Oryctolagus cuniculus: one gene and its partners. The protein of the gene in region 2 interacts with the protein of the main gene of each other region in a biochemical or structural test. Links are inferred from orthologs where the notes say so. Each region holds a gene or a part of one and is shown on either strand. Other genes may lie near its edges.

What was found.
Region 1: the proteins of ERBB2 (region 2) and FER form a complex in vitro, tested with the Homo sapiens proteins (2 studies listed by BioGRID and IntAct, with this or other methods). The link is inferred for Oryctolagus cuniculus from reciprocal best matches to the Homo sapiens genes ERBB2 and FER.
Region 3: the proteins of ERBB2 (region 2) and FGR form a complex in vitro, tested with the Homo sapiens proteins (2 studies listed by BioGRID and IntAct, with this or other methods). The link is inferred for Oryctolagus cuniculus from reciprocal best matches to the Homo sapiens genes ERBB2 and FGR.
Region 4: the proteins of ERBB2 (region 2) and CRKL form a complex in vitro, tested with the Homo sapiens proteins (2 studies listed by BioGRID and IntAct, with this or other methods). The link is inferred for Oryctolagus cuniculus from reciprocal best matches to the Homo sapiens genes ERBB2 and CRKL.
Region 5: the proteins of ERBB2 (region 2) and GRB2 form a complex in vitro, tested with the Homo sapiens proteins (4 studies listed by BioGRID and IntAct, with this or other methods). The link is inferred for Oryctolagus cuniculus from reciprocal best matches to the Homo sapiens genes ERBB2 and GRB2.
Region 6: the proteins of ERBB2 (region 2) and ABL1 form a complex in vitro, tested with the Homo sapiens proteins (3 studies listed by BioGRID and IntAct, with this or other methods). The link is inferred for Oryctolagus cuniculus from reciprocal best matches to the Homo sapiens genes ERBB2 and ABL1.

The regions. Positions count from the first base shown.
Region 1 is NC_091445.1:31,467,944-31,472,709, forward strand, and holds part of FER (tyrosine-protein kinase Fer), read left to right. Parts: intron 1-1,358; coding exon 1,359-1,629; intron 1,630-4,766. UniProt on the Homo sapiens protein: Tyrosine-protein kinase that acts downstream of cell surface receptors for growth factors and plays a role in the regulation of the actin cytoskeleton, microtubule assembly, lamellipodia formation, cell adhesion, cell migration and chemotaxis.
Region 2 is NC_091448.1:22,691,210-22,696,764, forward strand, and holds the start of ERBB2 (receptor tyrosine-protein kinase erbB-2), read right to left. Parts: upstream 3,678-5,555; 5' UTR 3,457-3,677; coding exon 3,384-3,456; intron 1-3,383. UniProt on the Homo sapiens protein: Protein tyrosine kinase that is part of several cell surface receptor complexes, but that apparently needs a coreceptor for ligand binding. Essential component of a neuregulin-receptor complex, although neuregulins do not interact with it alone.
Region 3 is NC_091438.1:143,956,670-143,961,435, reverse strand, and holds part of FGR (tyrosine-protein kinase Fgr), read right to left. Parts: intron 2,040-4,766; coding exon 1,936-2,039; intron 1,814-1,935; coding exon 1,664-1,813; intron 739-1,663; coding exon 583-738; intron 489-582; coding exon 309-488; intron 1-308. UniProt on the Homo sapiens protein: Non-receptor tyrosine-protein kinase that transmits signals from cell surface receptors devoid of kinase activity and contributes to the regulation of immune responses, including neutrophil, monocyte, macrophage and mast cell functions, cytoskeleton remodeling in response to extracellular stimuli, phagocytosis, cell adhesion and migration.
Region 4 is NC_091452.1:29,686,692-29,691,457, forward strand, and holds part of CRKL (crk-like protein), read left to right. Parts: intron 1-3,639; coding exon 3,640-4,105; intron 4,106-4,766. UniProt on the Homo sapiens protein: May mediate the transduction of intracellular signals.
Region 5 is NC_091448.1:5,227,035-5,231,364, reverse strand, and holds part of GRB2 (growth factor receptor-bound protein 2), read right to left. Parts: intron 3,278-4,330; coding exon 3,155-3,277; intron 1-3,154. UniProt on the Homo sapiens protein: Non-enzymatic adapter protein that plays a pivotal role in precisely regulated signaling cascades from cell surface receptors to cellular responses, including signaling transduction and gene expression.
Region 6 is NC_091432.1:233,492,831-233,497,596, forward strand, and holds part of ABL1 (tyrosine-protein kinase ABL1), read left to right. Parts: intron 1-1,099; coding exon 1,100-1,284; intron 1,285-3,435; coding exon 3,436-3,588; intron 3,589-4,766. UniProt on the Homo sapiens protein: Non-receptor tyrosine-protein kinase that plays a role in many key processes linked to cell growth and survival such as cytoskeleton remodeling in response to extracellular stimuli, cell motility and adhesion, receptor endocytosis, autophagy, DNA damage response and apoptosis.

The DNA of each region.
Region 1 (4,766 bases), on a different chromosome or scaffold from region 2:
CATCTGGGTCTCCTATATGGGTGGAAAGACCCCAAGTACCTGGGACCTTAACTTAAAAATTCAAGTACCTGGGCTGCCTTCTGTTGCTTTCCCAGGAGTATTAGCAGGAAGCTGGATCAGAAGTGGAATAGCCAGAACTAGAACCTGCACTCATATTTAATTGCTGGCATTGCAAGCAGCAGCTTAACCTACTGTACCACAACACTGACCCTGCCAGTACGGTCTCGATTGCTTTTTAGTTAAGTGTGAAATTAGATCCTTTGAGTCCTCCAATTTTATATTTCTTTTAAAGTATTTTTGTGTTTATTCTGGCTTCCTTGTATTTCCATATGAATTTTAAGATCAGCTGTCAATGTCTGTAAAAAATGTAGCTGAGTTATTAGTATAGATTTAAGATAAATCTTGCTTTTAAAGTAGTAAATCTTTTGGTCTTTGAACATGAAGCATTCAAGGTATTTTACAGCAATGTTTTACAAATTTCTTACAATGTTTTAAATTTCAAGAATATGGTCAGCGCCGCGGCTCAATAGGCTAACTCTGCCTGCGGCGCTGGCACCACGGGTTCTAGTCCTGGTCAGGGCGCCAGATTTTGTCCCGGTTGCTCCTCTTCCAGGCCAGCTCTCTGCTGTGGCCCGGGAAGGCAGTGGAGGATGGCCCAAGTGCTTGGGCCTGCACCCGCATGGGAGACCAGGAGAAGCACCTGGCTCCTGCCTTCGGATCAGCGCGGTGCGCCGGCCGCAGTGCAATGGCCACAGCAGCCATTGAGGGGTGAAGCAACGGAAAAGGAAGAGCTTTCTCTCTGTCTCTCTCTCACTGTCCACTCTGCCTGTCAAAAAAAAAAAAGTTTTAAGAATATAAATTAGTTTAAAATTTCTTACAACAATATTTTGTATTTTATTCCTAAGTAATTTAATTTTTTGATGCTATTGTATTTTCTTAAGTTTTGCTTTCAGATTGATCATTATTGATATACAGAAACACAATTACCTTTTATATATTGATTTTGTATCCTATAATATTACTAAACTCATTCACTAATTCTAATGGTTTTTTTCCATTGTTTAGGATTTTCTGTATGCCAGATAATGTCATCTGCAAGCAGAATTAATTTTCTTTCTTTCTTTCCCACCTCAATGTCTTTTATTTAATGTATTTCATTGTAATGGCTAAAAATGCTAATATAATTTGAATAGAAATCAACAATAGAGTGGACGTTCTTATCTTGTTCCTGAACTTTGAGAGAAAATATTGAATTGTAATAATTTTTTTTTACCCTGAAAAGAGTAGGTTGTATTTTTGCTTTGACGACTAATTTCCTTTTGATTCAAGATGTTTTCCCTTCTGTTTAACATACACAGATATGTGCTGATTAGAAAGCTGAACTGTGCAGTGAGAAAGAAGGACAAGCAGTGCCTTACAAAAATGGGGTTTGGGAGTGACCTGAAGAATTCACACGAAGCTGTGTTAAAATTGCAAGACTGGGAATTACGGTTACTGGAAACAGTGAAGAAATTTATGGCTCTGAGAATAAAAAGTGATAAAGAATATGCATCTACTTTACAGAACCTTTGTAATCAAGTTGATAAGGAAAGTACTGTACAGATGAATTATGTCAGCAATGTATCTAAGGTAAGAAGAATTATTTCATCATTCATTGCATATAACATCATAATTATGCTCACAGCAAATAGATCATTCTATTGAATGAGCATACCCACATTAACATACTAGGACAGTGGTTCCAGAATTTTTTGCTGAGTATCAGAATCTTATGGGGGAAGGTTTCCAAAATTATTTTGGGAACTTACCTGCTGATATTCTAATTCAATAGGTCTACAGAGGGACTTTGAAGTTTTTTCTGTAAATAAATATACAGGTTATTCTAGTGATTAGTCAGACTTGAGAGCTATTGTTAGAAATATTGGGTTTTTAAATTTTGTTTTCTGCTTTGGGTCAATTGACCTTTGCTGATTATTTCCTTTGATGCAAAGAAAATTTTAACCCATATTCCTGAATTCTTTGATGAATTGTTTGAAATATTTTAACCCATACCTCTCTCTTATTTTCTATCATTTCTTTGCTAAAATACTGGTAAATAAATAAATTAGTTTCCTCTTAAATCCACTGGATGAACTATATCTATCGAGATATCTATATATATATATATGTAGATACTTAGATATCCATAGATAGATATTTTCTGTAAGTTATATAAGAGATATGTAAGTTATATAAGAGATATAAAATACCTATATAGATATATATCTATATAGGTAGATGGATGCTTCCTATAAGTTTGTTGAAATTCCATCCAGTCTTACTTGGCTCAGTTTTTTTTCATGAATTTGTGTTGGATCTTGTCACGTGGTTTTTCTTTGTCTATTTCTGGAGTGATGTTACCTTATCTCATTCCATATATTGGAAATTTGTGTTTTTTCCCTTTTTTCTGACCAATCTGGGTAGAGGTTTATTAATTTTACTAATATTATCTGAGAACTCCCTTTTGATTTTGTTGACTTAAAAAGATTTTTTTTTTCTATTGCTTTGATTTCAGCTCTGAAGTCTACTGATTTTTCTTCCTCTTAATTTGTTTTTCATTTGCTCTCCCTCTTCCCTTGGTTTATTAAGGTGGAAGCGGAGATCACTGATTTGAGACCTGTCTTCTTTTGTAATACAAGGGTATAGTGTTCTAAATTTTTTTCCGAGTACTATTTCATCTGTATCCAGAAATTTTTCTATGCTTATTTTAATTTTCTTATAGTTAGGATTACATTTAGTTTCCTTTTTGATGTCTTTTTTGACAGATGTGTTCTTTGAAAGATTGTTATTTAATTTCCAAATAGTTGTTTTTTTCCATATGTATTTTTGTTAGGTATTCTGAATTTAGTTTTCCAAAAACTTATTTTGTATAATTACATGTTTTTAAATTTTTGAATACTACTTGTTTTATAACCCAGAATGAGGTCTGTTTTGGTAAATGTTGTATGTATACTTGATAAGAATATATACTGTTACGGTCAAGATGGTTGATAGTGGTGTCCCACTGTATTGTTTCTTTTTTAGTCAGAGTTCTCCGGAGAAGGAGAAGCAGAAGGGAAGCTATATATATGTAACAGGGAAGTCGAGAAGTCCCTCTGTGTGCTATCTGTAGCCTGGAGAACTGGGGAAGCCAGTGATGTAATTCTGTCTAAGGATGAAGGTCTGAGAACCGGGAGAGCTGATCTTGTTCTCCCAGTCTGAGGCCAAGGCCCGAGAACCTGAGGGGCTGTTGGTATAATTCTCAGAGTACAAAGGTCCTAGGACTTGGAGTTCTAATTCTGACTTCAGGAGGAGATGCATGTCTCAGCTCCAGAAGACAGAGCAAATGAGCCCTTCTTCATCCTTCTAGTTCTGTTAAGTTCTTACTACATTGCATGATGCCTGCCCATGTTGGTGAGGATGAATGTTTTTTAATTAATTTTATTTAATGTATACAAACTTAATGCATTTCTTACATACAAATCTAGGAACACAGTTGTTCTTCCCACTCTACCCTCCCTCCCTCCTACACTCCTACCCTTTTTCTTCCTCCCTCTCCTATTCCCATTCTTCTTCTTCTTCTTCTTTTTCTTCTTCTTCTTCTTTTTTTTTTTTTTTTTTTTTTTAGGATTTATTTATTTATTTGAAAGGCAGAGTTACAGAGATAGAGAGAAAGTTACGGAGATAGAGAGAAAGGTCTTCCATCTGCTAGTTCATTCCCCAGGTGGCCTCAATGGCCACAGCTGGGCAGATCCAAAGCGAGGAGCCAGGAGCCTCCTCCAGGTCTCCCTCGTGGGTGCAGGGAACAAAGAACTTAGGGCATCTTTACTGCTTTCCTAGGTCATACCAGACAGCTGGATTGGAAGTAGAGCAGCTGGGACACAAACTTGCACCAGTATGGGATGCCGACACTGCAGAACGGGACTTTAACTGGCTGTGCCACAGCTCACAGCGCCGGCCCCTCCCATTCTTATTTTTAAAAAGGTCTATTTTCAGTTAACTTTATGCTCATAAGATTGACCCTACACTAAATAAAGAGTTCAACAAATAGTATGAAGAAAAAAAAAACTGACACTGTGAGGATGAATCTCTTACTTAGTTGAGTGATTCAGATGATGTCTCTTGTGGAAAAACCCTCATAGACATGCACAGAAATAATGTTGTACCAGCTTTCAGGTATCCTGTGATCCAGTCACTCCTGTTGCACTAATTATTGAGTTTTTTTTTTTTAGTGATTTATTTGAAAGATAGAGTGACACACACACACACACAACACACACACAGAGCTAGAGAGAGAAAGAGAGAGAGAGAGAGATCTTGTATCTGCTGAGAGAGATCGCTTGATCTTTTATCTGTTGGTCCACTCCCCAAATGCTTCAACAGCTAGGGCTATGGCAGCCAGAGCCAGGAGTCAGAAATTCCATTCAGGTCTCTCACTTGGGTGGCAGGGACCCAAGGACTTGAGCTAACATATGCTGGCTCCCAGGTGCAGTTAGCAGAAAGCTGGAGCAGAAGCAGAGGTGACTCAGTCCAGGTACTCTGATATGGGATACAGGCATCCCAAGTAGTTGCTTAACTACTGCACCATGATGATCCCCTGAATTTTTCTTTATTACTTAAGGCTATTTGAAGTGTGTGCATTGTCTTCAATCCTGAGGGGCATGGTTGTTTGAGTTACTTTGGAAGTAGTATTGGGAGATGGAGACCTAGGCTGTCTTTGCTTCCAAATCCCTGGACTCTTGTTTCTC
Region 2 (5,555 bases):
GGCCCACAGAACAGAACTTGTGCCTGCTGAGTGCATACACCCAGTCTAGTCTGCCTCGGGAGGCAAAGGGGCCAGGTGCGGTCTCGGTGCCCATTCCTCCGTGCAGAGCGGGGCGCACTCCCTCCTGTCCCTCCTGCGGGACACTGGTGGTCAGGGTTTGGCCCCAGTCCCGGGCTCTTTGATGGGTTCTCTCCTCTCCCCCAGCCTTTAGCCCAAGCTGCTTCTTTGTTCACAGCATGAAAGCTAAGGCTTCCTTTGGTTTCCATGAGTACCACCAGGGAACTCCCTTCATCCCCAGACCCCTGCGGCCACAGCCATGCCAGGGCTCACCCCTACACACACCTGCACGGTTTAGGCTGTTTTTAGACCAGAACCCTAGCGCAGCCACTCTCTCCGTGACCTTGTGAGGCCTTGCACCTGCAGGGCAGAAGCTCCCTGGGATTCATCTCCACACCTGTGATTTCCTTGGCACCCAGCGACTATTTCCTGGCCTAAACTGGGTCCTAACGACTCTTACTCCCTCCAAGCAGGTACAAGAGAGTTAAACGAGAGCTTGAATCCAGAGGCAGTCTGTAAACATGGCAAGTCTTTGTAAACAGAGCTGGGGCAACACAAACATTAGCTGTAATAATTCTCCCACTCCTTCAGAGCACACACATCCCTCGCCCCTACCTCGCCTCTCTTCCCAAGGGTGAGGAGGGGAGGGGGTGGCCTAGCAGAAGTGGCACAGGAGTTTCCCTGCAGGTGGAGGGCAGGAAGGGAGATCTCTTTCTAGACCATTCCATCACCCAGAGGCAGGCACATCTACCCTGGGTCCTGCCCCAGCCTCTGGACCCCCAGGCCTCCCCTCACCCATAGCCCTTAGCATCCCAGTGGCCTCCACACCCTCCTGCCCTAAGTCCCCTATGATGCTGAGAGGGCCCAGGAGAAAGGCAGGCATGGGCTGGACAGGAAGGGAGAGGACTCCACAGCCGGGAGGGGACCTCAGGCCCCCCAGCTCAGCCCCATTTCCCCTAGCCAGGTTCGGAGGTCCACCCCAAAACAGAACAGCATCCCTATCCCTTTAGGCTAAGGTTTGGGTCAAGCCATTCCTGTTGTGTGGACTTTGACCAACTCTTAAGGCCTCTTCATTGGCTAAGGAGCCTTGGCCAAGTCCGTGGGTTCTCTGAACTTCAGTTTTCCACCTGTGCCCCTGTCTCAGGATTGTTAGAGACGGAACGGAGCCATCTGCACTTGAGCACCTGCCTACAGGAAGCGCACTGCAACTTCTTAAAAACTTGAGGCAAGGGTTTCATCCAGCAGGAGTACAGGTGATCCCAGTTCAGGAGAAAATGCGCATTGTATTTGACCTTGAAAGTCAATATATTTTTCTTTTTACATTTGAGCCTTTCTTTGCTATTGTTTTTTTTTTTTCTTGGACATGAAAATGAACACTTTTAGTAGAAAGAGGGAAGGAGGTTCTTGGGAAGATCACACTGGAATTAAAATATGAATGAACAGTGAAAAGGATGCGTTTGGTGCAATTTACAAATCTTGACCGCTGAAAAAGATCTCAGCAAAATCCTGGCCCCCTGGCCCTTGCCCCTGGGCCTCCCCTTCCAACATCCCTGCCCCAGCCCACAGCCCTGGGGTAGAACCTGGCTGCTGGGTGGGATGTGCCTGCCTCTGTAACCATTCCCCATGCAACACACTCAGTGTCTCTCTGTAACTCAGCGTGAGGACCTGAGGAGGCCCCGGTCAAGAGGAGTCTACCCCAGCAACGCAGCCGCCACCGCCTGCTCTGCTCCCAGGCAAGGAGAGGAGGGCGGCCCCTCGCCATGGGCAGAGGTGAAGTTGCACGCCCAGGGAAGGAGGGAGGGAGGACAGGGACCTCCCTCTGCAGCCACCCAGCAGGCATGGGGCCACCTCCTGCTATTTACAACAGATCTGGCCCAGCACCTTGAGGGCGTTCCTGGAGAGGGCAGAGTTCAGCCTGCGTCCCCAAGTCATCAGGGAGACTGATGTTTGGCAACACAAGGCCCAGACACACAAACACAGACCATAATTCAGGACCACCTGGCACAGCCCCAGACACACACTGACAGCTCGCAGACAATGCGGCAAGGCCCTGGCGAGGACCCGGGAGAGCACCACGGATGCACTGCCACCCACAGCTCCCCAGACTCCCTGAGTGCCAGGGGCCACCTCACCCTGCTCCCACAGCACCCTCACCCAGGGATGCAAGGGGCAGTGCCCCCCACCGGCTCAGGTGGACCCCAATCATCATTTTCAATGTGCGGCTAAGGCTTGTGCTGCCCTGGGCCGGCTGTGAGCCCCACCACAAGCCAGCAGCCGCCTCCCTCTTTGGGCCCCGTTTTTCACCTGCAACGTGGCCTTCTGTTAGGAAGACGAAAGGAGGGAATGCATGCAAAACACCACCCACGGGCCCAGCAGAGTGTACTGGGCACAGAGTGTGTGTTAGCTTTTATCCTGACTTCGTGCAGGCGGACAGCAGGGTCGGGATACACACCTCTCCACTCACCCTCCCCGTCCCCTCACAGCAGGAAGCAAAAAGACAGCAGAAGCACCCGGCCCCTGGGATACCCCCGTCTGGCCACAGCTGCCCCGATATGCCGCCCGTGGAACTCTCCAAACCAGGAAACCCACCCTCACCCCTCTCTGGTCCAGGCTCTCCACAAGTCACAAAGCCCGCAGGCCCTGTAGGAACTGGCTCAAAACAAACCAGGGCCCCTCCCCCTCGCCCAGACCCCAGCGCCAGGGACGCGTGCAGCTCGCCAGGCCACTCTCCCCGGCCCGCGGGGCAGGTTGCTCTGCCCACCTCCCCCTTCACCCCCGGCCCCGCCTGAAGCCGGTACTCAAACGCGGGCGGCTGGAGGGGGCGGGGAGGGGGGAGGGGCAGGGCAGAGAGGACCCCCCCCCAAGGAATCCAGCCCAGTCCAGTCCGGAGGCGGAGGCTGCCAACTGGAAAGGCTTTGAGAAGGCTGGCGGGGGCTCGGCGCGGGGAAACACGCTCGCGCGCGCGCGCGCGCACGCACACTCCCACACCCACCCCGCAATCCACCTCGGCGAAAACTTTGGGCGCAATCTCGGAGAACTTTTCTGACAAGTCCCCGGAGCCCGCTGGGAGTCCGGCAAGCGCCCGGGCCCTAGAAAGGGGCGATCTCGAGCCGCTTCGGTGGGGGTCGCCCCCAACCCCGCCTCCACCTTCTCTCGCCCCCTCCCGGCCCGAGCGCCCCGCGCCGGGAAAGCCCGAACTTAACGAAACTTCGGCGAGGAGGGCTCGTCGGGCTCCTCGGCCCCCGCCAGCCTGGGACTTCGGACCGGAGACCCAGGCTGCGGGGGGGGCCCTTCACTACCCCATCCCCTCCCCACGCCAGACCCACCTTGGGTGCCCGCGGTTCCGGGGGGCAAAAGGGCGAGGAGGAGCCCCCAGCGGTACCAGGCCGCCAGCTCCATGGTGCTCACTGCGGCTCCGGCCCCATGGCTCCGGCTGGACCAGGCTGGGAGTGCGCGGGGCTCGGCGAGGGGGTGGGGGCCGGGCGCGCGGCTGCCGGCGGGCACTCCTAGTCTCTCGGCTCGCGCTGGAGGGGAATCTCAGCTCCACAACTTCATTCTCGTACTTCCTCAAGCAATCCTACTCCTCCACCACCTCCTCCTCCTCCACCTCCTCCTCCTCCTCCTCCTCCTCCTCCTCCTCCTCCTCCTCCCGTGATTGGGAGCAGGCGCGCTCACGGCTCGCCCCCCCACCCCCGCCGCTGCATTCCAGCAAGTCTGGGAGTGGCAACTCCAGCTTCGCTTTCTCCCTCTCCCGGCGCAGGCCTGGGTGCGTCCGTGCCAGCGCCCGGACGCCGGGGTTGCCCGCAGCAGTCCTCACGCAGAGCCGGGCAGAGGGATCCCGCCGCCTGCCCCGGAGTGCGGGCGAATTCTCCAGGCTGCCACCCTCCGGTCTCTCCGAAGCCTCGGGTTAGATCTGCAACATTCCCGGGGAGTTTGCATCCTACCGCGTCCCGCGCCTGTTTGTTGTGGTATCGAATAATGGCTTGCCCGCCGGCGCACTCAAGTAAACCTGCCGGCCTGGGAGCGGGGATGAGCTGGGGTCCAGGTGCGGCCTCCAGGAGCCCTTTGGACAGCTCCTCGGCTGTTGTAGGGATCTGGTCCGGGCTGAGAAGCAAGACCTACACATTTGGGAGGGGACAGTGAAATCGGAGGCAGCAGGGCTTCAGTCCCTGGCCGAGCGTTCTTGTTTTCCGTAAGGCTACGCGCAGAACCCAATCCCTCCCAGGTTTGTTCCTCGCCTTTTCCCGCCTGCTGAGCGCCACCCCTCCACCCTGCATCCATCCCGCCTGAATTCCGGCCCCTACTCTTAAACCTCCGTGGTGGCAGTGCGCCTGGAAAGAAGACCGATTTTTGCTGAAAGACAAAATACGACATGGGACATTGTATCCTAACAAATTGCTCATTATTTATCTGAGATTCAGATTTACGGGGCACCCTTATTATTATTTGCTAAATCTGGCAATTCTGAATGCCCCCCCACTCCACCCCGGAGCCCAAGAGCACATCAGTACGGGTCAAGAGGAGTGAGACGCTGCTCTGGGGTCTGGAGAGAGAAGCAGACGGACGTTTCCTAACCTGCGTCGTGGGCTGAGCACTGAGAGAGGCAGGCTGGGAACAGCGGGCTCTGGAATCAGGGAGCCCTGTGTTCAAGTCGCGGCTCCATCACATATCAGCCACTCAGACGGCACTTGGCACATGAAGATTGCTCAGTACACACTTCCAGATTTACTCATAGTGGGAGAGATGTAGGTTTTGTGGGGTCTGGGGTTTATAAAATTTGAGAGACTCTCTTTAAAAAAGAGTTGGAGAGAGATGGCAGGACTCCCACATCAGAGTCCTGGCTGCACCATGCTTCCGATTCAGCTTCCTGCTAACGTGCCTGGGAAGCAGCTGATGATGGCTCAAGTGCTTGGGTTCCTATCACCCACACAGGAAACCTGAATGGAGTTCCAGTCTCCTGGCTTTGGACTGGCTCAACCCTGGCTGTTGTGGGCATTTGGGGAGTGAACCAACAGATGAAAAATAAACCTCTCTCTCTCAAATAAATAAATACATATTTTTTTTTAAAAGAAAGTGATGGAGAGGCCAACACTGTGGCATAGCGGGCAAAGCCACCACCTGCAGTGCCAGCATCCCACATGGCCTCTGGTTTCGGTCTCAGCAGCTCCACTTCCGATCCAGCTCTCTGCTATGGCCTGGGAAAGCAGTGGAAGATGGCCCAAGTGCTTGGGCCCCTGCACCTGCGTAGGAGACCTGGGAAAAGCTTCAGGCTCCTGGCTTTGGATCAGTCCAGCTCTGGCTGTTGCAGCCATTTGGGGAGTGAACCATTAGATGGAAGACCCCTCTCTCGCTGTCTCTCTCTGCCTCTGTTAACTCTGGCTTTCAAATAAATAAATAGATCTTTTTAAAAAAGTGAGGTACGTGCATGCAAATAAGAAGCCTCAAGCTTACCCTTCCTTAACCCCATAGTAAGTCCTCCTCTGGGTCTAACCAGGGAT
Region 3 (4,766 bases), on a different chromosome or scaffold from region 2:
TACCCCCGTGGAACCCCCAGCCCTCTCGCTGGCCTCGCCCACCGCCTCCTGCTCTCAGACACCCACCCAGACACATCTCCAGGATCCTCTTCCTCTCCTGGACACGCCCCTCACGGACTCTGCCCAGACCCTCCCTCAGCACAGAGCTTGGCTTCCTTAGCTCAAGCCCCACCCACCGCCTACCCACACCCCATCCCAAGGCTCCGCCCCCACTCCCAGGCCTGCTGTCCTCTTACCTAGGGGCCTCTCACTCACCAGGGTTCTGGTCCCCTTCCTAGAGACCCCCACCCAGTGTCGCGCGCCCTCACCGTGGCACATGAACTCGGTCACGATGTAGATGGGCTCCTCGGACACCACGGCATACAGCTGCACCAGCTTGTGGTGCCGCAGCAGCTTCATGACCTGCGCCTCCTCCAGGAAGGCCTTCGGGGACATGGTGCCCGGCTTCAGCGTCTTCACCGCCACCTTTGTGCTGCCGTTCCACGTGCCTGTCCCACGGCCCAGCGCGTCAGGACTGCTCCCCCCGGGCCCAGGCCTTCCCCACGCCCCCCCCCCCCCAGAAGGCACCTCACATCTCCATACCCAGCCACACATCCCCGAAGCAGCCGCTGCCCAGCCGGCGCTCCAGTCCGATGGAGGCACGGCTGATCTCCCAGGCGTCCTTGGCCAGGCCCAGGGTCTGCGGCTTCATGGTGGCACAGGCCACCGTGAGCAGGTGGCACAGCCCATCGTTCACCTCTGGAGGGAGGAGGGCTGCAGGTTACCCATGGGCCAGGGCCACACCTCCCCCCCACCTCATCCCACTGGTGCCTGGTGCCCAACTATGAAGAACTAGGCCTCCCAGGAGGGCACAGGCCAGGAGGGAATGCACCCCTGGCCCTGAGTCAATGAACACGTATGTACCCAGGGAAGGGCGTGGCACCCCAGGGGGACAGAAGATCCCTACAGGACAAGGGGTTTTCCTGTAAAGACTGGGGGCTCTCACATGGGAGCTGGTCTTGAAGGAGAAAGTGAGATCAGGACAGGTGTAGGGGTGGGGAGTCCAGACAAGGTATGGACATGAGGCCCATCCTTGACCTAACCAGTCCAGGCAGGGCGTTGACCCCCACCCTGCCCTTGACCGACCAGCCAACCCTCCAGGTTGGGCCGTTCTGCCTCTGCTCTACTTCTGCTGCCTGAGTGTGGCAGCTGCTGCCTCTGAGCACTCTCCTCCTTCCGCCTTGCCCTGGGCATCCATGCCTGACCAGCCGCCAGGGTGTCTCACCAAAGTGCAGACAGCCTCTGCCATCCCCTGCTGTGGTCCCTGTCACGGTGGTTCCCTCCCTGCCACAGGGCAGTCCTAGTGCCCTGCTGGTGCTGGGAGGAGTGGGGTGGGGTGGGGAGGGGAAGGTGGGCATACAAGGCAGCTCAGTGCTTAAACTTCCTGTTGGGTTCAGGACTTGATGCCAGAAACTGGCCAATTCCCTGCTCAGATGCTAGGGGGCGCTGCTTGGCCATGGTGGGATGCCTGCCTCAGTTTCCTGGTGAAGCCCGCAGAGCAGTATCCTGAGCCCGGTGTGGCCACGAGTGCTTTGGGAGAACCCTCCCTTCTCTGGGCCTCCGTCTCTCCTATGGACAAGGGCATCAGCGGGCTGGCTCAGCGACCGGAGGCGCCCGCCCTCACCCATGTAGTGCTTCACCAGCTCCTGCACTGAGTCGAACTGGGCCCGCGTGGTGATGTAGTAGCCACCCGTGTCCAGCTTGCGGATCTTATAATGCTTCACGTGATCACCTCTGCTCTGGTCCCAGTCACGGATGGACAGCGAGTAGGCGCCTGTGGGTGGGAAAGGGTCACTGCAGGTGTGCTGTCGGCGTCTTCCCCAGTCTGGTAGCCGGAAGAGGCCAGGGCTGGGGGGCAGGGGGCCCCTCCCCACACTGCCAGGGCGCAGCCCCCACCTTTGGTGGTCTCACTCTCCCGAATGAGGAAGGTCCCCTGGGGGTTGCCTGGGGACAGCAGCTGCCTCTCTGCATCCTTCCTCCCGATCTTTCCGAAGTACCACCTGTTGGGAAGGGCAGGTGAGAGTCAGGGACACTCTGTGCAGACCCCAGCCCAGCCCCTTGGGCAGTCACCTCTGCAGCCAAGACTTTCCTCGCACGTACAATGGGACTCAGCCTGTGTGAAGATCCCAGAGCAGGGCGTGGAAAACCCCTGGCACATAGCAGGTGCCCAACAAAGGGGAGCTTTCCCGTCTCTACTCTTTGGGTTTCCTTGAGTTAAAAAAATTTTTTAAAAGGTCTTCATTCTGGTGGTTCACTTCCCAAATGGCTGCTATAGCCGGTGCACTCCGCTGATCCGAAGCCAGGAGCCAGGTGCCTCCTCCCGGTCTCCCATGAGAGTGCAGGGGCCCAACCACCTGCCTTCCCGGGCCACAGCAGAGAGCTGGACTAGAAGAGGAGCAACCAGGACAGAATCCAGCACCCCAACTGGGACTAGAAAGAAGCCAGGGTGCCATCGCCTCAGGCGGAGGATTAGCCTAGTAAGCCGCGGCACCAGCCCTTGAGTTAAAATTTTGAGGTCCGGCATTGTGGTGTAATGGGTTAAGCTGCTGCCTGTGATGCTGGGCCGGTTCTTGTCTTGGCTGAGCCACTTCTGATCCAGTGCCCTGCTAATGTGCCTGGGACACCCATGTGGGAGTCCCAGATGAAGATCCTGGTTCCTGGCTTCATCCTGGCCCAGCCCTGGCTGTTGCAGCCATTTGGAAAGTGATGGAGGATCTCTCTCTCTCTCTCTCTCTCTCACCCCATAACTCTGCCTTTCAAAATAAATAAATAAATAAATAAATAAATAAATAAATAAGTCTTTTTAAAAATTGTGAGAGCTGGGGCCGGCACCATGGCTCACTTGGTTAATCCTCCGCTTGCAGCGGCACCGGCATCACATATGGGCGCCAGGTTCTAGTCCTGGTTGCTCTTCCAGTCCAGCTCTCTGCTGTGGCCCGGGAGGGCAGTGGAGAATGGCCCCAGTGCTTGGGCCCCTGCACCTGCATGGGAGACCAGGAGGAAGCACCTGGCTCCTGGCTTTGGATCAGCGCAGCACCGGCCATGGCAGCCATTTGGGGAGTGAACCAACGGAAAGAAGACCTTTCTCTTTCTCTCTCTCTCTCTCACTCACTGTCTATAACTCTACTTGTCAATAAATAAATAAATAAATAAATAAATAAATTTGTGAGAGCAGCAGGTCTTGGCACGCATTTCAAATGCCGCTTGGGACACCTGCATCTTGTATCTGAGCGCCTGGGTTGGAGCCTTGGCTCTGCTCCCAATTCCAACTTCCTGCTGATGAGCACCCTGGGAGGCAGCAGGTGGTGGCTCAAGTTCCTGGGTCCCTGCCCCCACACGGGAGACCCAGCTCTGGAGCTTCTGGCTGCTGGTTTCAGCAGGTGGGAGATCTTTGTCTGATGTCTGCCTTTCAAATAAAGAGGCTGCTAGAACCCCAGTCACCGGTGACTGCACCAGGGCGTCTTGAGCCCCTGAGTCCCTCTCCTTAGGGCCCTTCACACACTCTCACAGAGGAGGAACTCGAGGCTCAGAGAGGGGAAGTGACCGCCTGTAAGACTGTCCGATGATTCCCACCTAGAACCCTTTGCCACCCAACTGACTTCTTTGCCCACCTCCGCCCTCCAGGCAATCACTCAGATCCCTCCCTTCCCCCATCTCCTAGCCTGTCCTCCCCGGCTTCCAGAAGAGCATCCTCTCTCCACTCTTCTCTGACAATCCTGCCCAGATCTGCTGGCTGCTTTTTCTCCACTCTCTTAAGCATTGTCAGTCCCAACATCAACCTCAGGCCTCACCCCTCCTGCTGGCACCTGATGGCTCTTTCTGGCATCAAACTGCAGCCGTAAACGGTGTGAGTACACCGTGGCCATCAAAGTGACCAAAGGTGGCGTAGAAGACTCAGATGTGCTGCAATTATGACATTGGCCTGTGGTCATCTTGGGACGAATTAGAAGGAGCATAGTTTTTGAATCAAGGGAGGTAGAAATCTCCAAAGTCTGGATGGTCAGCTCACACCTGGGTACTAGGCAGAATTTGGGAAACAGGAGAAGGCCCTGGCAAGTGGCATGGCCAGGAGAACAGGCAGGAGGGGGATCAGGGGCTGTTGAAGGGCAGTGGAGACAGGACACCTCCCCAGGTTGTCTCACAGCCCTGCCCCCACCTGCGTCTATGACATTAGTGGTTTCCTTAATAAGCAATATAATAATAACAGCACTTATTTTGTTTCGAGCTCTGCCTTAATACCACGTGCATCCAATCAATTTGCAGACCCACACTTTGAGATGGGTGCTCTTGCTGGCCCCAGCACACAGATGAGGAAGCTGAGGTTCCCAGCGGTCAGGCAGCTTGCCCAAGGCCACGGCGCTCTGAAGCTGTGTTGCCAGAATAGGAACCCGAGCTACAGCTCTAGGGCCTATGCACTTGACCATGACACTCACGTAACCACAGCACCACACTGAGTGCAACCCAGCTTCCGAGACACTGCCTCCCAGAGGATATGCAGACGTGAACCACCTGCCCGCTGCCTCCACCTCCCTCCCCAGACCAAGGCCCCAGTGCACTTGGGCTCTGGTCCTGCCCACGCCCTTCTGCTCAGGGACCCTGTCCCCACCGCGTGAAGCAGCCCCAATGCCCGAAGGGGCCCCGTCTGTCCTGCTCCACCCAAGAAAACTGTTCTGAGTCCTGTCTTGTCACCCACATCCTGCCGTACCCTCCCCCTCTGCTTCTCACCT
Region 4 (4,766 bases), on a different chromosome or scaffold from region 2:
TGTTCTGGTGTGGACTGGGTTAGGGAGAGACTGGAAGTTAATTAAGCGCTACTATGGGAGAGAAACCATGACCAGCGGAACTAAGATTAACTCTGTTGGGAATGTAAAGTGGGGACTCAATCCTTGCTTGGCAGTTGAGCGTAGAAAGTGAGGGAAGAGGCCGGCACTGTGGCTCACTTGGCTAATCCTCCACCTGCCGCGGTTCTAGTCCTGGTCGGGGCGACGGATTCTGTCTCGGTTGCTCCTCTTCCAGTCCAGCTCTCTGCTGTGGCCCGGGAAGGCAGTGGAGGATGGCCCAAGTGCTTGGGCCCTGCACCCGCATGGAAGACCAGGAGGAAGCACCTGGCTCCTGGCTTTGGATCGGCACAGCGCACTGGCCGTAGTGGCCATTTGAGGGGTGAACCAACGGAAAAGGAAGACCTTTCTCTCTAACTCTGCCTGTAAAAAAAGAAAAGAAAAAGAAAGTGAGGGAAGAGGTTTGACTTCAGAGAGGATTAAGAAATGCCTTTGAGGGAAGAGAAAGGATTAGGTGAGGGGGGCAGTTGTTTTCAATAGGAAGTCTTTTGGGGAACCTAATGGCAGCCAGGTGTGCTTTAGTAACCTGATGGATTTGTTACTGAGGGAAGAGGTGGGGACTGAATATGTTGGTTTGGCCCTTAGAATCACACAGAATGGGGCCGGTGCTGTGGCTCAGCGGGTTAAAGCTGCGGCGCCAGCATCTCATATGGGGGTTAGTTCCAGTCTGAGGTAGTTTCCAATTCAGCCCCCTACTAATGTGCCTGGGAACGCATATGGGAGACTGGAAGAAGCTCGACCTGACTGTTGGGGCCATTTAGGGAGTGAACCAGTGGATGGAAGATCTTTCTCTCCCTCTCTCTAACTCTACCTTTCAAATAAATAAATCTTTAGGAAAAAAAAAAAAAACTGGAATGAGCAAAGCAAGAGATGTGGAAGGAAGGTGAGGGGTGTATTGCATGTAGGCCAACAGGTGAAAGCTTTTTCTCTCTCAAAATAATGTTTGAGATAAGTTTATTGTAGTGCAACAATTTGAAATCTAGCTTTTTTTTTTTTTTTTTTTTTTTTTTTTTGACAGGCAGAGTGGACAGTGAGAGAGAGACAGAGAGAAAGGTCTTCCTTTGCCATTGGTTCACCCTCCAATGGCCGCCGTGGCCGGCGCGCTGCAGCCGGCGCACCACGCTGTTCCGATGGCAGGAGCCAGGTGCTTCTCCTGGTCTCCCATGGGGTGCAGGGCCCAAGCACTTGGGCCATCCTCCACTGCACTCCCTGGCCACAGGAGAGAGCTGGCCTGGAAGAGGGGCAACCGGGACAGAATCCGGCGCCCCGACCAGGACTAGAACCCGGTGTGCCGGCGCCGCAAGGCGGAGGATTAGCCTAGTGAGCCACGGCACCGGCCCACACCTGATATTTTTAAGACAAACTGCTATTAAGCAGTTTGCCCTTGGTTATAAAATTGTTAATAAGTAACAAGGCCTTTGAAATTTTAAATCAAGCTCCTAATCACCTAATCATTATGACTTATGAAAGTAGTTGTAGTAAAAAGAGATACAAGGTTTTGTTTTTGTTTTTGTTTTAAGATTTATTTTTCCCCTGTGCTGTGTGGCATAGTGGGCTAAGCCTCAGGTGCCGGCATCCCATATGGGCACTGGTCCCAGTCCAGCTCTCTGCTATGGCCTGGGAAAGTAGCAGAAGATCGTGCAAATCCTTGGGCCCCTGCACCTGCATGGGAGACCGGAAGAAGCTCCTGGCTCCTGGCTTCAGATCAGCCTAGCTCTGGCCGTTGCTTTCATTTGGGGAGTAAACCAGCAGATGGGGGAATCTCTCTCTGCCTCTCTGTAACTCTGCCTTTCAAATAAGTAAATAAATCTTAAAAAAAAAAAAAAAAAGTAATGTGGCTGTATATATTTAGGGCCATAATAAATGTTCACGTTCTTTAACCTAGTTATTTGAGTTCTGGGAGTCATAAGTTAAAAAAGTGATAAAGGGAAAATATGCTCAAAGTGTGTGGCATTGACGGCTAAACATGAAGAAACAGTGAACTATCCAGGGGCGCTTCCTTATGTTGTGCTCACAGAATGCTGTGACAGTGGAGGTGGTGGAGGCCAGTGATGTGCAGACACACCTGTGCTGTGATTTTAGGAAGAAAAGCTGCCGCAGTTTTTCTGGAGTGGATGCAGGCTTTGGTGAAGCCCCCTCTTAGTGAGATACAAACTCTGGAGGCACCCCAGCCTAGGGTAGATTCTGGGCTTCAGAAAAGGGGAAGGGGAAGAAACGTTTTTTTCCACTTGGTGGCTTTCCAGCTTTTCAAACCTTGTCTCAGGCGAGGAGAGACTCGTGTTTCTGGTGGGTGTTAGCAGGACTGTGCTTGTGTGGCTGACCCTGGGAGTTCATCCTACATGTCGTTGGGCAGATATTAATATATCTGTAGCCACTGCAAAGCTGCAGTGGTGGCAGCAGACTGACGCTTACATGGGGGCTCTGACCTGTGCGTTTTGCAGTGTAAGTTTCATTGATGCTCATTTTGATGATCAGGTGGTAATTTTATTTTGGTAGACATCTGGTTTTTGTACTTTGAGGGACCAGAGGCAGACCTTTCTCATCTTTTCTCTGTGTAGCCAGGGAAATGTGCAGGATGTGTCATTAAATTAGGACTGGGAGAAAGAATTTGTGGCATTTGTGACAAAGTCCAATGGAAGGCAGCTACTGAACTTAAGATTTTAAAAATAAATTAAGATTGGGTATCAGCTGGCACCCTGGGTTCTAGTCCCGGTCGGGGCACCGGATTCTGTCTGGTTGCCCCTCTTCCAGTCTAGCTCTCTGCTGTGGCCCAGGAGTGCAGTGGAGGATGGCCCAGGTCTTTGGGCCCTGCACCCGCATGGGAGACTGGGAGGAAGCATCTGGCTCCCGGCTTTGGATCAGCGCAGCGCGCTGACCATAGCAGCCACTTGGTGGGTGAACCAACGGAAAAAGGAAGACCTTTCTTTCTCTCTCTCTCTCACTAACTCTGTCCAAAAAAAAAAAAAAAAAAAAAATTGGGTATCTATATGTAAACAAAAACTTATAAAGCAGATGTGGTGTGTATATACATTTGACATGTAATTTGAAAAGGCATACTCAGGATATTGACTTTCATTAAAGACTACAGAAAGTACAATCTGAAAGAACCTTCTTACTCCTGAGAATAAATATAGAGAAATAATTCATTATGGAGGAGTGTGGTTTATTAAAAAATTTGATAGGGACCAGCATTGTGGCATAGTGGGCTAAGTTTTTACCTGCAGCACTGGCATCTCATATGGGCTGTGGTTCTAGTCCTGCCTGCTCTTTTTCTGGTCCAGCTCTCTGCTGTGGCCTGGGAAAGCAGTGGAAGATGGCCCAAGTGCTGGGGCCCCTGCACCCCATGGGAGACCTATAGGAAGCTCCTGGCTCTTGACTTCAGATTGGTCCAGTTCTGGCCGTTGTGGCCATTTGGGAGTGAACCAGTGGATGGAAGACCTTTCTCACTGTCTCTCTCTCTCTCTCTGTAACTCTACCTCTAAAATGAATAAAATCTTAAAAAAAAAAAAAAAAAGTTTGATGACACTGGTAAGATTTTTCTCCTAATTTTCTTTCTCTCTTAAGGTATCCAAGCCCACAAATGGGATCTGTCTCGGCACCCAACCTGCCTACAGCAGAAGAAAATCTGGAATATGTACGGACTCTCTATGATTTTCCTGGGAATGATGCTGAAGACCTGCCTTTTAAAAAAGGTGAGATCCTGGTGATAGTAGAGAAGCCTGAAGAACAGTGGTGGAGCGCCCGGAACAAGGATGGTCGGGTCGGGATGATCCCTGTTCCTTATGTTGAAAAGCTCGTGAGATCCTCGCCACACGGAAAGCACGGAAATAGGAATTCCAATAGCTATGGGATCCCAGAACCTGCTCATGCGTATGCTCAACCTCAGACCACAACTCCTCTACCTGCAGTTTCCAGTACTCCTGGGGCAGCCATCAACCCCTTGCCATCCACACAGAATGGACCTGTCTTTGCGAAAGCAATCCAGAAAAGAGTGCCCTGTGCTTACGACAAGACAGCCTTGGCATTAGAGGTAAAACCTGTTAAGACTGTCCTTTTGGGTTCTTTGACGTTTGGTTTTCATTTTCAGTTTTAATTTCTGCAAAGTCATGACTTCTCATTTAAGGTTATGTTCATGGGAGTTAAAAAACTGGGTTATTCTGAAAGATGCAGTTAGTGTTGCAGTTTTTGTCCTTTCCTTCTCCTTGTTTCTTCCAAGTTCTCAGCCTGCTTATTCTTAATTCTTGCTCCTAAAAGCCCCTAGATGTGATTTCAGTAGTTGGTTTTCTTTTCAGTAAGGAAAGATGATAATTAAGAAAGGTCCAGAGGCTGGTGCTGTGGCGTAGCAGGTGAAGCTGCTGCCTGTAGTGCTGGCATCCCATATGGGTGCTGGTTCGAGTCCCAGCTGCTCTACTTTCAATCCAGCTCTCTAATATGGCCTGGGAAAGCAGTAGAAGATGGCCCAAATCCTTTGGCCCCTGCGCCCACATGAAAGACCTGGAAAAAGCTCCTAGCTCCTGGCTTCGGATTGACCCAGCTCTGGCTGTTGTGGCCATTTGGGGAGTGAACCAGTAAATAGAAGATATCCTCCCCCCCCCCCCCCCCCAGCCTCTCTGTAACTGCCATTCAGATAATAAATAAATCTTAAAAAAAAAAAAAAAAAAGTCCATGACCTTGAGGAGAAATCAGCATAT
Region 5 (4,330 bases), about 17 Mb from region 2:
CTGTGCCCTGCACTGTACCAACTACATCAGCCTCACTTAAGACAAGGAATATACCTTAATTAACTACGCTTCAAGCAAAAATAATTAAAATCTCAAAGGTGGGATAGAAAATAAGGTGAGGAAGCAGATACGCTCAACAAAGCTCCAGGTACCAGAAATACTCCAGTCATTTCCCACTTGGGGATTTGAGTTCTACTCACGGGATAAAGGCCGTGGGGGGAAAAAGGATGTACTGGGACAGCAAAAGAGGCCCAGGCACCAAAGTCCCCACACCCTCCATCGCCAGAAAATCCACTCCCCTTAATGCTGGCCAGCAACACAGAGCTGCCAGTGACACCTGCTGTCCCGTTCCCTGCTGAATCCTCCAAGGACTCAGTGAGCACGTGTTCCTCAAAGCCCTCCTTTGGGTCGGTATTGCGCCATAACAGGTAAAGCCCTCGCCTGCAATGCTGGCATTCCATACGAGCGACGGTCAAGTCTGGATGCTAATGGCGTAGGAAAAGCAGCAGACGAAGGCCCCAGTGCTTGGGTCCCTGCCACCCACGTGGCAGACTGGGAGGAAGCTCCCGGTTTCAGCCTGGCTTAGTGCTGGCCATTGCAGCCGATTTCTCTTTTTCTCTGCAACTCTTTCAAATAAGTAAATAGATAATTTTAACGTCAAAGGCCCTCCTTCAGTATTAAAGCCTAAAGAAGCCAACACTTTCCAAAAACAGCCAGCAGGTGGCAGGACTGGGCTTCAAGGAAGCCGGAGTGCAGGATACCAAGTGGGGTTGGGGGAAGACAATCCAGTGGCCCTGGCATTCCCTCCCCCACTATCCATAGTGTGGTTTGTGTGTGTGTGTGTGTGTGCTGCGGGGGGTTCTAAGACCCCCAGTGGATGCGTGAGACGGTGGATAGTACCAAACTGCATATATACTGCTTTCTCTTGCAAACACCACACACACACACACACACACACTTCTATGATAAAGTTAAATTAGTAAGTTAGGTATAGTAAACTAACAATACACAAGACAATTGTAACAACCAACAACCACAAAAAAATAAAAGTCATTTAAAATCTGAACTGTTTGTTCCTGGAATGTCCCGATCAGTATTTTTAGACCACAGTCACTTGTGGACCGTGAAGCCGCGGATGGGGGTGGCTGCTGTACTGCTTTCTCACACACCCACACACAACACACAACACACACACACACGGGGGAGAGAGGAGGGGGAGGGGTGTGTGTGGGGGGGTGCAGTGCTAGTGAGAGGGCTTCTGGAAGAAGGGCCTGTCCTGCACCTCTGGCCCTGGGGACTCGCTGGCGGTGGACGCGGTCAGTTTCTTAGGTGCGTAAGGTCCCGGGTGAGCACTCTGCCAACTACAAGGGCTCGAATCACTGACTCAAAACATCTTAAAAACCAGAGAAACACTGCTGAGGCTGTTGATTCTTGAGCCTCCTTGGTGACACATTTTCTGTTGTCACAGGCAGTCTCACACTTTATTTCTCAGACAATGAATAGAGAATTTGATAAAAGGGAGTGCTGCGGGTTTTGGTGTCTGTGGCAGGAGTGTCCCACACTGAGTGCCCGGAGGTGCTGGCCACCAGCCAATGACCAACTGCTTGTATTCCTAGTCGCACGTTTACTTTATACTCAGTCAGCATAAAACACAAGGGACCGAGATGCACACAGATGATGACCCCACCGCCCTCCCCTCCCCGGGCCACGCTCTGCAGCAGAACTTCACTTGCGATGTTCAATCAAGCCCTTCAAGGAGTCCTTACTGGACAGGCCTTTGGTTAAGAAGCCTGCACAAACATCAGTGTCTGAGCCCCAGCTCTGCTCCGACTCCAGCCTCCTGCTCACGCAGATCCTGGGAGGCAGCGGAGGCGGCTCACTCACAGGAGCCCCTGTCACCCACGTGAGACCTGGATGGAGTCTGGGATCCTGGCTTCAGCTTGGCCCAGCCCCAGCTGTTGCAGGCATTTGGGGAGTGAACCAGAAGGGGGGATCTCTTTTGGTCTCTGTCTTTCAAATAAAATGGAAAACAATCAAACAAACAAATACCCACAATCATGGGTCCTAATTCACATTTTAAAAAAGACACATCTCTATATTTAAATCTGCTGTTAAAAAAAAAATCTATACTTTAACCACACATTAATCTTAAACCAAAATACTAAGTTCTCTTTTAAAGTCTCGTGCTTTATATCATTTGTAAATTATTCTCTTACCCTCATGTTAAAAATAATTTTAGGGGCCAGCGCTGTGGCGAAGCGGGTGAAGTTGCCACCTGCAGTGCCACCATCTCATATGGGCGCCGGGTTGAGGCCCGGCTGCTCCACTTCTGATCCAGCTCTCTGCTGTGGCCTGGGAAAGCAGTACAACATGGCCCAACTCCTTGGGCCTCTGCCCCCATGTGGGAAGACCCAGAGGAAGCTCCTGGCTCCTGGCTTTGGATCAGTGCAGCTCTGGCCATTGCGGCCAATTGATGAGTGAACCAGCGACGGAAGACCCCTCTCTCTCTCCTTCTCTCTGTGTAACTCTTTCAAATAAATAAAATAAATCTTTAAAAATTATAAAAATAACTTTAATGTAATCTATAATAAAACGGCAATCTGAGCTTTAACCTAATTTAACCTAATTACCCATATACATGTGTTTATGTGTATAAACACTAAAGTGATTTGTAAAATTTCCGAGGGAGGGTTTCCTATGATAATTTATTAATCAGAACAGGACTGAAAGCAAAAAAAACAAAAGCAAAGAAAAAAACCCACATGGAAATGAGAACTCAAAATCTTCTCCACTCCTGCTTGCTAGCTCCTTACCACAAATCTACCACCTGGGACGGCTCCCCCCAAATCCTCCCCAGCACCTTGTTAGTTACAGGGAGGTCCAGGACGGGACTGGTCATCTGAGCACTGAGTCCACTGCAGGAACCCCCGGCGGATGCCCATGGAGGGACGCTGCCTGCCTCAGTCCTGGAGACGGCTCCCCCGGGGCTCCATCCAGGGCAGCAAGCCCGGACCATCAGGGTTTCAAAATAAAATGAAAATGCTGTCCAGGCTGGTTGGACCCCCGGCAGTCTGCGTGGCCAGACACCGACGCTGGCTGCACGATTCCCGTCAGCGGCAGCCGGCTTCCCGGCAGCGGGGCAGGAAACACTCACTTGACGGAGAGGGAGAAATCGCCGGGCGCGCTCTCGCTCTCGCGGATGAGAAAGGCCCCGTCATGCCGCTGTTTGCTGAGCATTTCTTCTGCCTTGGCTCTGGGTATTTTGCCAAAAAACCACCTAGAGAAAGAAGGCAAGGGAGTCAACAGTTACTTCCCCTGAAAGGAACGGGGACACCCACCCCTGGAGATGGGGGTAACAGAGCACTCCTTGCCACAGGGGCTCCCCGACAGACCACCCTTCTCCTCACTCCAGCTCCCAAGAGACTCAGCAGGCACTATGCAGGCCACTCTCTGTGGATACAGATGCTTAGACTGGCTTCCCAGGCCAGAGGATGTGAAGCCAGGAGGAACCACACAGGCAGAGACAGTCCCTGACTGGTGGCAGCCACTTGATGGGGGACTAATAATGAAGGGAGGAAATCGGGGAGGCAGGGCTACTTCTGCTCAGAGCCCAAGGGGGAAGGCACAGCCTCCACAGTGACCACAGTCGGCGACCTCTCGGGGCCCCCGTGACACCCAGGACACCACAATTCACCGTGTGTGCAGCAGCTACAAAATCACGATTTTCACTTGCAGTCAGCTACAGACTCCTCAGCTTCCCTGATAAACCACCCGGCCCGAAGAAACGTGGCTGAATTCACAGAAAAACTGGAGAGTGAGTGCCTTGTGGCTCACCAGGAGGAGAAGGCAAGAGCTTAGTCACAGCCACCCAGCTACTGCAGGTGAAAACCACTGCTAATTAGGACAAGACACTAAAAACAGTGTGCTCTCTGAAAATCCTCCTTAATGTTTTTGTCTTACTTAAGCAGCACTCACTCAATACGTGAACTATATTAAAGGCACCAAACAGTCCACTAAAGTTACAAATGTAACTGCATCTCTATCTCACTCCTAAGCAACCTTATTACGAGATGTCTCTAAAATAGTGTACCAGACAAAAACCCACAGCGAAACACCTGAACTGCCCAGAAGTCACCTGGCCCCCTCGGAGACCTCGGACCATGCTCCTAAATGGAATTACTTGTGACACCAGCTGCTGAGGAGCTGGGACGTTAAGTCCTCCGTGTCTACTAAGACTCAAGGGTAAGTCCTCCGTGCCTGGAAACCAGGCCACAAGGGCAGTCATACAGGAGGAGGACAGATGACCTCTAAGTACGGAAGGACAGCTGCC
Region 6 (4,766 bases), on a different chromosome or scaffold from region 2:
CATTCTTTGCTGGTGGAAATGGCCTCCTAGCAAAGTGACAGCCCATGCAGGACGCAGCCTGATGGGCTCGCCGAGTCGCAGACGAGATGTTTGCCGCGCCGCCGCGTGGCCTTTCCTGCCCAGTTAACTCGAGTGTGAAACCTCTACACGAGGTTGCCGTGCAGAGAAGCAGAGCGGCGCAGGAGTCGCGGGCAGCTCCTCGTCCTCAGATTTTCCGTGCCCCACAGGAGCCTGGTCCAGATGCTCCCGTCACTCGGGACGTGAACCCTCTGATGCTGCACATTGAGATTTCCTGACTCCTGGTTTGCCGTGCACGGCTGGTCTGCTCCCTCTTCACTCAGGCACACTTAAGATGCTTTGCCGAAATCCCATTAGGCACAGCTCTTCGTGTTTAATGCCTCTCTCCTTGCTGATGCCCAGGCTCCCGCGCAGCCGTCGCTGCATGCGGCTGCCTCCTCGCACTCCTGCACCCCGGTGTGCCTTGTGCATTTGTGGTTAACATCCGTGGAGCAGAGGTTAAACGGCTGCCTCCCTGGAGGCTCAGGAGGCGGGAGGAAGAGAGTTGCGAGGAGGCATTTGGGTGAGCATCAGGAAGAGAGAGGGAGGGAGGAGGCAGAATCTAGGTGGAGGCGCCCGGGCTTTATTTTACTCCGTCCTGGTCATGCCTGGGTAGGACAAGTGGAGACTGTCCTACCTACGTTCCTTGTGACGGAGGATTGGGCTGAGCGTTGGTTGCCGTGCCAGCGTGCAGTAGCGGTAACGGCGCCCTTACGTAACTCGCCGCTGCTCTCCAGGCATTGCTGGAAGCACCTGACACGTTCGTTCATCGCGCGCAGCCCCAGGGTGTAGGTGCCTTTATCATCATCCTCACCTTACAGGGTAACTAACCTGCTGCAGGTCTCAGTGCCTCCCGGGCTGCCCCTGGCGCCGTGCTGGGGCTCAGGCCATGCGCCCAGGGGCTGGCACCGCCCCCAGCCTGCAGGGTCTGAATGCCTGCAGGGGCCGACGCCGTCTGCCTCGCCAATTCTGCACCTTCGCTTGCTGGTGGTGGATTTGGGCAGCCGAATCCTGGGGGTCTCACGGTGACCTTCCTTCCCAGGGACCTTGCTGCCCGGAACTGCCTGGTAGGGGAAAACCACTTGGTGAAGGTGGCTGATTTTGGCCTGAGCAGGCTGATGACAGGGGACACCTACACGGCCCACGCCGGAGCCAAGTTTCCCATCAAGTGGACCGCGCCGGAGAGCCTGGCCTACAACAAGTTCTCCATCAAGTCCGACGTGTGGGGTAAGAGCCGCTGCCCGGCGCAGTCCACTCCCGGGGGGCTTTGCTCCGTTCTCCTCTGCCTCATGCACCAGCTCTTTCCCTTCCAGTCCCTGGTCTCCATTACTTCTCCTTCTTTCTCACTTTATTTCTCTACTTTTGATTCGTTTTGTCTATTTGAAAGGCAGAGGAAGAAAGAGAGAGAGAAAGGGCCATTTGTTCCCAGCCGGTTTCAAACCAGGGCAAGCGTAACAACCACTACACCACAGGAACCGCCTGCTTCTTTGTCATTTAAAATCCTTTCCCCTTTGTTTTCTTGTCAAGGTAGAGTGAGAGTGAGCTTTTTCTTCCTCAGTTATGCAGAATAGCTTGCTGTAACTTATTATTGGGTCATCTTCCACTGCTTTCCCAGGCCACAGCAGAGAGCTGGATCGGAAGAGGAGCAGCCGGGGCTCGAACCGCTGCCTATACGGGATGCCGGCACTGCAGGTTTTAACCCGCTGCGCCACAGTGCTGGCCCCCAACCCTCATGTTTTTAAAAGCGAATCCCAGGCCCCATGTTATTTTGTGTCTGGTGTTCGGCTCCCAGCTAGCTGGACTGTGAAGCTCGGGCTGTTTCTCACAGTTTGCACTGAGATCCAGGTGTGGTTCCCGCAGTGCTTGGCCGGTCTTTGCCGAAGCCGCCTCCAGCCACGGCTCCCTCTCCGTGTCCTTTTTCCCTTGGTTTCCTTTTATGCAGAAGCTCCGTCGCTTGTCCTTGAGTTTCCCACGTGGTGGGTTTTCTCTGCCACCGCTGCTTCTGGGGTCCCGTCGCTGGGTCGCTGAGTCGGCAGCTTCGTCACATCCGGGCCTGCCTTGGGCCTCTTCCACCAGGACTTGGGAAGGTGGCGTGCTCTGTCCTCGGCAGTGCGTCCTGTCCGCGTGTGCCGACACCCAGCGCCTAGACGCGCTGCTTGACAAGGGATGCCAGGAGGAGGTTCCCTGGATCCGTCTTTCCTCACTCACTTATTAGCAGGCTGCTCTGCAAGAAGCCCCTCCCCTTGTCTGCCCGGGCCTTGGTGCTAGTACTAGCGTAGAAGCGGCAGGGTGAGTGCCTGCTCCTCTGCCTTTGTTTACCAGTTTTTGAGATAAGCTGGTCTGTTGATGCCCCTCCGTGGTGCCCCGTGAGGTTTTGTTGTTTGTCACTGCTGATGTCATTATGAACCGGGGAGCTTTATCTGACACATAGAGAGGGGGAGACACACACCCACACACGGAGCAAGGTATATCTTCCGTCTGCGGGTCTCTCCCCAAATGCCTGGGACAGCCGGAGCTCAGCCCGGAGCCAGGAGCTGTCCCAGCCTCTTGTGTGGATGGCAAGGGCCCAAGTCGTTGGGCCGTCATCTGCTCTGTGCTGGGTGCATTAGCTGAAAGCTGGATCAGAAGCATGGAGCGTTCGGGACTGGAACCAGGCACTCCTGTGTGGGACGAGGGGAATCCCAGGAGCTGCTTAACCCGCTGTATCTCATCGTCGGCCAGCGGGAGCTTCAGGGTAACTCCTGGTCCTCTTGGAGTTGCCCTTGGAGTCTTCCATGATGTCCATGCTGTCTGGAATGGCAGGATGCACAAGGCTCACTCACACCTGAGTCCCTGCTTCTCAGCGGAGCCCCGGTTCCTTCAACAGGGGAGGAAGTGTCAAGGCCATAAGCTGGGGTTGCAAAACTTACAAAGATTCCATGAAATTTGTTTGGCAGTTTTTTGAGTTGGCAGAGGAGATAATTCTGTACGCCTAGAAATGAGTGGCCTGTACTGGGCACACAGCAAGCCGGCCACAGAGCCACTGCGGCCTGTGCTGGGTGCACAGCTAGCCGGCCACAGAGCCACGGCGGCCTGTGCTGGGCGCACAGCTAGCCGGCCACAGACCTGTGCGTAGACTGTGGCTGCCTGTTTGCCGGCCCAGGCTCCTGACACCCCACATCCCGCGAGGTGGTTGCATTGGCTGAAAGGCCCCGGGGGGCTGATGGCTTCGCCGTCTTCCCTCCCGCAGTGTTTTCCGTCCGTGTCAGGCACTCTCCTGTCTGCGCTGCCCAGGGTGCTGGTGGTTCGTGCGGGACCAGCGGGGCTGCCTCTGCGGGTGCCCCTGGCGTGTCTGCTGCAGTGGCGTGAGCCTTCCAGCCTCCTTCTCCTTCCTTTTAGCGTTTGGAGTGCTGCTTTGGGAAATCGCCACCTACGGCATGTCGCCGTACCCGGGGATCGACCTGTCCCAGGTCTATGAGCTGCTGGAGAAGGATTACCGCATGGAGCGCCCGGAAGGCTGCCCGGAGAAGGTCTACGAACTCATGCGAGCATGTGAGCCCCGGCGCCAGTCTGGGGGGCGGCGTGAGGGCCGCGCAGAGGCCGCGGGGAGCGTGCGTGTGTGTGTGTGTCTGTGTGTCTGTGTATTCAAAAGATTGATTTATTTAAAAGGCAGAGGCAGAGAGAGAGGTCTTCCATTCGCTATTTTACTCCCCAGATGGCTACAACGGCCGGAGCTGGGTTGATCCAAAGCCAGGAGCTCCATCCAGGTCTCCACGCGGGTGCAGGGGCCCAAGCACTTGGGCCATCTTCTGCTGCTTTCCCAGGTCTTAGCAGAGAGCTGGATTGGAAGTGGAGCAGCCAGGACTTGAACCCACGCCCATATAGGATGCCGGCACTGCAGGCCGTGGCTTTACCCGCTACGCCACAGCGCTGGCCCCTGGATGTATATCTTTTTCACTTTCTTTAATGCTTGTGTGTTTGTTCATACATTGCGCACAAACGCTGCCTACCCAAACCTGGGTTTCTCCTCAGCCCTGAGTGCTGTGCTCGGAGGACCACCCCTCGGGGCGGGACTGCCCCTTCACTTCCGTGCCGTGGCATCACTCGTGCTCGTGTGGGCGTGTGCGCGTGCCTGTGAGTTAGTAGCAGGTGTGGGCTTTCCATGCCTGGGTTTTCAAGTCCCCTTCGCCCTCCTCCTATTTCATTCCATTGAACAATCCATTCATCCATCCAGTTCTCTATTGATGAGCGATTGATTGTTTTATATATTTGTTTGGTCTTTCCATTGTAAGAAAGACAGGAGTGGACATCCTTACACCTGTCCCTCTGCTCCTACACTGGTACTTTTGATAACTGCAGGCATTTTAACTTTTTTGAAAAAGATTTATTTATTTGAAAGGCAGAGTTATAGAGAGAGGGGGAGAGACAGAGAGGCAGGCCTTGCATCCATTGGTTCTCTCCCCAAATGGCCACAACAGCTGGGGCTGGACCAGGCCAAAAGCCAGGACCCAGGAGCTTCTTCCAGGTCTCCCATGTGGATGCAGGGGCCCAAACACGTGGGCCATCTTCCTCTGCTTTCCCAGGCACAAGTTATCAGGAAGCTGCCCTGGAAGCAGAGCAGCCAGGATCCCGGAGCTTGTTCAGGGTCAACCACATGAGTGGCAGTAGCCCAAGGACTTGAGCCTCTACCTGTGCCTCCCAGGAAACTGGATCAGAAGCAGAACCAGGAC